2 linked regions of the Danio rerio genome follow. The protein of the gene in region 2 purifies or fractionates together with the protein of the main gene of each other region. This does not show direct contact. Links are inferred from orthologs where the notes say so. Each region holds a gene or a part of one and is shown on either strand. Other genes may lie near its edges. The genes, in order: mafk and bach2b.

Region 1 (3,834 bases), on a different chromosome or scaffold from region 2:
CGGGCGGCCCACGGGTGACAGTCCGGGCAAAGCACTGTAGGGCCTCGTATTTAGCTCGAAGCGCGTCCAGCTCCAGTCGCATGCTGGCGTTTTCTCGAGCCAGCTTGTCCACTTCGTGTTGCAGCTCCGTCTTTTGCCGCTCAAGCTCCTCCTTCTGCGTGACGCGCTTGATGCGGCAGCTGGCAGCGTATCCGCGGTTCTTGAGCGTGCGCCGCCGCTGTTTCAGCCGCACCACGTCTTCCTTGGTCAAGCCGCGCAGGTGCTGGTTGAGCTCCCGCACAGACATGGCCACCAGCTCATCGTCGCTGAGCGCCGGAGCATTCTCACCTGCCTCCTTCTTTACCTGAAATATAGCACAGAAACAGACATTAGAGACTGTGCTTGATAAAGTTTTCATAATCAAGTCAAATGTAAAAAAAAAATTAGGAATCTGTAAATTTACAAAGTTTGGAAAGTTGTACATGAGCAATCAAAAAGTACAATGTTTATATTGCTAGCATACACTGTTATTGTTTAGGTGATTAAACTAATAACTGCAAGTTATTTCATTGAGAAAAAAAATGTTTGTTTTGGTAATCATTAATCAAAGTCTGACCATTCCATGCGGTTTTTTTTTTAATTCCCAGTTTCTGCTGGTTACATTTCCCAAATTTGCATTGTCAATCTTAGGCCATCTGTAATTGTTTGTTTTCGGTTCAATTTCTAATTTCCCAAACCATTGCAGAGCCAGGGGGATCAGAGCGTGCGCTCCAGCTTGGCCCCACCCTGATCCATGTTTGTAGTGGTGGTCTTTGGGTCTATTGACGTCAGTTTGATGGCTTCAGTCACAAAATTCTTAACCATGCCCCTTTTATCTTTAGTTTGCTATAAGGGAATGATGTGTAAAAAGACAGCTCTGGCCCTTTTTCAATATTCTGTTTCAGTCGCAAGTACATCAACATGCTAAGAATTTTAAATCTCAGAAATCTCTTCCATAGAATGAAAAAAAATTGCATATGCATGGTTGAATTATAATTCAAACCACAAGAGTCAAACACCACTGTTTCCTTCTTCTCATAAACATTTTACTTGACTAAAAGACCACACGTGAATCTGAACATAACAGACTGTGATGTTACATGTGGGATAATCAATATGCACCCCAGCAGCCTTTGATTGGACACAACATTTCCTAGTGAGATAGAAATGTTTTCTTATGTTCTCAGTTTAAAACAACTTATGTTGGACTCATATTTTGAAAATGGGACAGACGTTAGCTCTGGGGTAAGTTAATGCAACAGTCTCAATAGAGTAAAATCAGATTATAAGTTTATTCTGAATATTTTAATGTTCATAATCTTTCCAAATAAGGGAAAACTGAGCTTTTCATTGTAGCACAAATCCCTATGCTTTAAAAAGATCTGTTCATTTACAGTTTCCGTATTTAGGGATTAGTGTTTTCTGTTTATTTACGGTTGTGAATTGCATTATGGGACCTTGATCTCTGCGCTGAAAATTCAACTCTACAGTTTTACAAAGTGACTTTTATTGACATTTTAGTTATATATTGTATAAGAAATAATATAGAGAGAAATGAGCATGTAAAATAACAGAACAAAACCAGACAATATATCACTTTAAACTATTCAAAATGTTAATAAAAGTCACTTTTTTTAAAAGGTTAAAAGTTGTAAGAAGAAAGATCAAAGTCTCATCATGCAATTTAAAAGCATAAATAGAAGGGTGGGGAAAAGATCTATAAATAAAAACACAAAGCACAAAATACGGGAAACTAATTTTGTTTAGTGTAGGGTTTTAAATAGACTTGTAAAAACTTTTCTGGAGATTTTGTACTTACCTAAGCCACATACATTCTATGAAGAGTTCAGGGAACAATTTAAGCATGTATCAGTTCTATGGCACTTTAAATAATAATAATAATAATAATACTTTTTTTATTCATAAAAGATTAATTTCATCAAAAATTATTTCAATTTTCAGATAAATGCTTTTAATTTATAATTTCTGTTCGTAAAAAAAAAAAAAAAATTCATAAAATTTACCCATCACCATGTACCTTAACAAAATTACCTGATCACAATTTTAACAAAAAAAGCAATTAATTATACAAAGGCTTTCAAAAATGTTACTTGATCCTCAAATCAGCAAATATGAATAATTTCTGAGGAATTGCGTACCACGGAAAACTGGAGTAATGCTGAAAATTCAGCTGTACCATCACAAGAATAAATGGCATCTTAAATTCAGCTTAAATTGCAATAGTAGCTATTTCATACGGGTTCCTGAAAGTTTTAATAAGGTAAATTTTAGATGTATTAAATATTAGCATGCTGTCAAATGGTAATATGCTCAAGTACTTTTTAAAAAATAAGCGGTATCATAAACACTAAATATTAAGATCAACTTTATTCTATCTTCCAAAAATAAATAAAACAACAACAATGACTTTAAATTACTTTTTATTTCGTTTCAAAATGTAAATGTTTAGATTCGTTATTAAGACACACTTTTAAAGCAAATTGGCATGTGATTAGAAATCTTGTCTTATGCTAAATTGATTTTTAAAAGATTTCGCAAAAAAAAAACAATTTATTAATTTTACATCTTAAGTAGATGCATGTTGATTTAAAGATGTGTAGATATTTGTAACAATATGTTAATCTTTGCATCTGCAACATTTAATCGTTCTATAAATTTAAGATTTGCTTTGAATTTAGACCCTTTAAGGCCTTACATTTATGAAAAATCTAATCTTCCCAACACACAAGTGTTCTTACCTTTAAAGCTTTGCCTGCTTTAAAATGAGTCGTCATGCCCTGCATACAAGCAGCTTGTCAGAACTCTTCAAAAATCTGTCTAAAAGAAAGAGAAAATAACGTAATAAATATATCAAATGTAACACTTATATGTGCAATAAAAAATTAACAAAATCGGAGAAACACTTTTGTGTGAATGCACTAGTTAGAACATTCCAATGAAACTGCTGAGTTGAATGAAGTGTCCTATAGTGAGCAGCAGAGGTCAGTATAGTACTGCACAACCTCAGCCAGACAAGGGTTGCCCTGTTTACTTGCTGATCTCGCGTTCTCACGATGCGGCTCACTAGACCGTTACAGGAGGGCAATAATAGAAGCAGGTCAGCGCTCGGCATGAGGCTTTGTCTGATCTTTCTGCTTAGCGGTTCAAGCGAGGCTATTTTGGCCACTGTGCTATTTTTAAAAGAGTCCACTGTGTGCGTTTGAGCTCGAGACACGCGCTTTTGCGGGCTCCATTTCAGGAGCGTCTGAGCGCGTGAACTGAACTCTGCTCATGACTGCAGCCATGGAGACGCGCTTCAAAGGGTGTGGGAGTGAGTGTCACGTGACCAGAAAATGGTAAACAAGCTTCATTCATAAGCTCGACGCACAAGGGAGAAACAAACAAAAAAAATAATAATAGATATTCAAAAGGAAATAACATGTCTGTCTAGCCGTTTGTCTGTCTGCCTGTCTGTCTGTCTATCTATCTATCTATTCATTCATTTTCTTGTCGGCTTAGTCCATTTATTAATCCGTGGTCGCCACAGCAGAATGAACCGCCAACTTATCCAGCAAGTTTTTACGCAGCGGATGCCCTTCCAGCCGCAACCCATCTCTGGGAATCATCCACACACACATTCACCATATGTACAGTTGCTTTGAACTGGGCCAAAGCATGTTTGTCCCCCTTCCCGTCTCCCCCGATGGTCCGCACTCACATTACATTCGGGCCTGAGCATGCTTACATCATCGACGATGCGCAGTTCAGTAAGCGCTTTCGCACAGCACAGTGGAGATTTCTTTAGCTATATCGTTT
Region 2 (3,834 bases):
GTCATTGTTCAAAAATGAACAAATGTGAATATAAAAGCAACTTTACCTCAGTAAAGCAGACTACGTGGAACAGCACTGTTTACTGATGTTTTGTTGTTAAACTAAATAAAAATCTACATAATCGATGCTGTCAAATTTCCCTTATAAAGCAGAAAATAGTCACATCAATCTTTCACGGGGAGATTTCAGTGGCTAAACAACATGTCTGTGCATATAAGCCATTCATAACACAACACAATCTAACATAAGCTTAGTCTGACTAAAATAGTTTTAAAACAGAACATACCTGTCTAACAGTAATATTTCAGCTATGGTGTCGTTCTTCCTCCAGCGTGCAAAAGTAACTCCAATATTGATTCAGGATTTTCAAAAGTTTTAATTTAGCATTTGATTTCACCGCGTCTGTGATAGTCTCGTGAACGCGTGGCACTCATGCAGGTGGGTACGCGCAAATGGCGGATCTGCGTGAACAGATGCGCAGAAGTCCGAATCTACATTTGCTGACAGATAGTTTGAGCTACTTATCGGAATTATGGGAGATGTCGGCCTGATAATATTTAATTGGATGAACATTTTTATGCCTTACCCCGAATATAAAAATACATATAAACATATTTAAATCACTTACTTTAATCATTACTATTGGACTGTGAAGAGACTTTAAACCAGCACAACAAAAAATGTTTCTGAAGACAATCACCTACTGCACCTTTAAGTTGATCAAAAAGCAGTGGAGATATTTATTATAAGTTTTTATGTAAAATTTGTATTGTAATTGTAATGCTTTTATTTTGAACTTTCTATTCCTTGAAGTATGTAGTCATAATCAGTTCTTAAAATACTTTAGTATAGGGACTATTTCCCACTTACAACAGCTTGCATACCAGCTATTATTACATCTAAAGCACATACCTAAACTCAACTGGCTATTCGTTCTCGAGTGTTACCATGGCAACGGACCAGTTTCTCCATGATGTTCCCAACATGCTTTCCTGAAGGTCTCATCCTCATCTCTAAAGATGATCTCTCCTTTATAGTGCTTTGCTTTTTAAAAATACACAGCATCCCTGGGGAAATCTTATACAACTCAGATCAGACAACATCCTCTATGCAACTTCATTCTTATATATGCTTATTGATTCTTTCTCTTTATACTAAATCAGTACATTTAAGCTTTCTTTAAATAATGTCTTACTTTTCATTGTTAAATTATAATTATTAGTAATAAATAGATAACTACCATTTTCTCTTCGCTTGATTTATATATATATATATATATATATATATATATATATATATATATATATATATATATATATATATATATATATATGAGCAATTCCAGCGTTATGGATGTGACATTTGCAGTAAAAACTCAACACATAAATTGACAGAGAAAGTATATGTTAACATTATATTGAAAAATTTAATTATATTTCTAAAGCAACTAGCCACAGAGTTATGGAAGCAGAAAAATATCAATCTGTAAACGTGTTTTGTACTTTAAATGAGGAAAATAAGCATGCGTTATGGATGTGACAAAAAAAGTCTGCGAGTTTACAGTATACAACACACTTTGTAGAAATTATGTGACTTAAACTGCACAACCCAAAAGAAATAATGCTAATCAAAAAGATTAGAGTCGGCTCTCTATAAAACAAAATTGCTTGGTTTTATTTTATTTAATATTTTCACATTTCTGAGGAAAGTGTCGTTATGGATGTGACATCTCTCTGTTATGGATGTGACGCATCTGAAATTACCATTTGTGTGACTTTGGTAAATCAAATAGAATAGTTTGAAAACATTGACAGATGCATTTTTGAGTATTTTTAAAGTACTGTAAAATACTTGCTTACACAAAAAACCCAGAAATGGTTTCCGTATTTTGGTAAAAACGAAAACAATTTTCATGGCAAGGTTGACATTTGCACGGAATTGCTCATATATATATATAGTATATACAATTTTGCTGTGTTTGTTGTATGTCAAAAGAATTATATATTATGTGACCTAAAAAAGAAAGACAAACAAACAAGTAAATAAATATATATATAAAAATTAATTTGCACTACTTGATATTTCATGGACGGTGCCATTCAAATTTTTTCTTGTATTTTTTAAACAGATTAGTCAACTCTAAAGAATAACATTCATTTAAATTGAAGATAGTTGGTAATATTAGTAGTGTAATTATTGCAGTAGTCCCTGCTGAAAAAACTAAACAAAGTAGCTTGCTTTGTATTAACCAATCACAGAACAGATATGCACCCCCTTATAGTGCTCTGGTATGCGAGCAACATATTGGCATTTCCTATTCTGCATTCAGCATTCATTTCCTATTGAACATTACTGTTTTGCCTCCATAAATCTACAAATGTATATATTTTAAACCATTCCTAAGTAATTGTTTTTTGCCCTTTTTTGCTTTAATTTTCACAACTTCATTGTACTATGCACTGCCCTATAAAGGCAGTAACCATGTAAACACTGACAATGTGAAATATAGAGTCAGTGTTTTGATCGTATTTTGATATGAACAAAGGGAATGTTTGTCCGAAATCACGGGCGGTCAACAAGTACTTACATTCATGTTTATTCAAAGCCTGTATGATTTTAACTGAATGATCCCTTTTAACGCTTTCTACTTATTTCAGTCATTGCTCAGCTTTTGCAAAATATGTATCCACTTCTCTGCTTCTCTGTCACTATACACAACAGCAATCCATTGTCAAATTGAGTTTGCTCCAAAAGGTCAGAGTAATATCATTGCAGCTATTCATGTTCCTGTCAGTTCAGTCATGAAAATGATTACAGTGTTTATTGCTCTATTAGCAGTCAGCAGCTTTATTCAATGAAGAAGTAAATAGAGATCAAAAGGGAAGTCTCTGATAGCATGAAGGAGCATGCGTTATCTAATTGCTTTCTGCATGAATGGAAGCTAGAAAATGCATAGTGAGGTTCTGGAAAAAATTATTGGTAAACACAATGAGAGAAAAAAAATTCAACAGACTCACCTCAGGGCCTTGCTCTCGAACATGACATGATTCACTGTCCCCCTCCGAAAAGGACCCTGACTCATCACTGGAATTGGTTCCATATGACTGCTCACACTTTATCTTGGGCCGTACCCGTGCAAATAGTGCATCCGTCCCACCACCTGCCTCTTGTTGGTCAGAGGTGAGACACCGCGTCACATTGGGGCAAGGCGAGGGTGAAAACTCAAACTGCGGCAGGCTGCAGGGGGACCCCCCGCTTCCGTCCTCAGCGTAAGAATAGGACGAACAGGAACTGGAGGTCCGAGTGCGGGTCTCTGAAGGGGGCGATCGTGGGCATACCTTAATTGGCACTGGGCAGCTGGTATTGGGCCTTTGGCGGCAAAGCAAGGGCGGGTCGCTGGCTGTGGTACTAGGGGAGTAGGTCTGAGAGCTGGGAAGGGACTGGCTGGCGCCGGCCCACAATCCCTTTGGCATGTGTTCTGAGAGCTCCTTCTCCAATGAGTTCCCGCTGGGATGGGAGTGGGTGGGTGTACCCAGTCGGTCACAGGCCCCTGAGGAGAAGATGACACTGCGGCGGTCCGGCTCCACCTCTTGCTTGCACACACCATCGCAGGAAGGCGACTTCAACGAAAGCCCTGGCGGGAAACCATCAGTGTCTTTGGGGAACGCCACAGGCATGCCAAACTCATTGCCAAGCGAAGGCCTGTAGTCTTTTTTGTGGTCTCCCTGAGTGGTTCCTTTATCCTGGGCGTTGATGAGTCTGTTAGCTAAGAGCTGCTGGGGTGTGCTGGGCAGGTCCTTCTTGAACAGAGCCCGTAGGCAGGTGGGTGACTTG

The links.
Region 1: the proteins of bach2b (region 2) and mafk purify together in Homo sapiens (co-immunoprecipitation; 3 studies listed by BioGRID and IntAct, with this or other methods). This does not show direct contact. The link is inferred for Danio rerio from reciprocal best matches to the Homo sapiens genes BACH2 and MAFK.

What each region holds. Positions count from the first base shown.
Region 1 is NC_133178.1:42,010,203-42,014,036, forward strand, and holds part of mafk (transcription factor MafK), read right to left. Parts: intron 2,857-3,834; 5' UTR 2,823-2,856; coding exon of another isoform or gene 2,814-2,822; coding exon 2,778-2,813; intron 344-2,777; coding exon 1-343. UniProt on the Homo sapiens protein: Since they lack a putative transactivation domain, the small Mafs behave as transcriptional repressors when they dimerize among themselves.
Region 2 is NC_133195.1:26,610,164-26,613,997, forward strand, and holds part of bach2b (transcription regulator protein BACH2), read right to left. Parts: coding exon 3,018-3,834; intron 1-3,017. UniProt on the Homo sapiens protein: Transcriptional regulator that acts as a repressor or activator. Binds to Maf recognition elements (MARE). Plays an important role in coordinating transcription activation and repression by MAFK.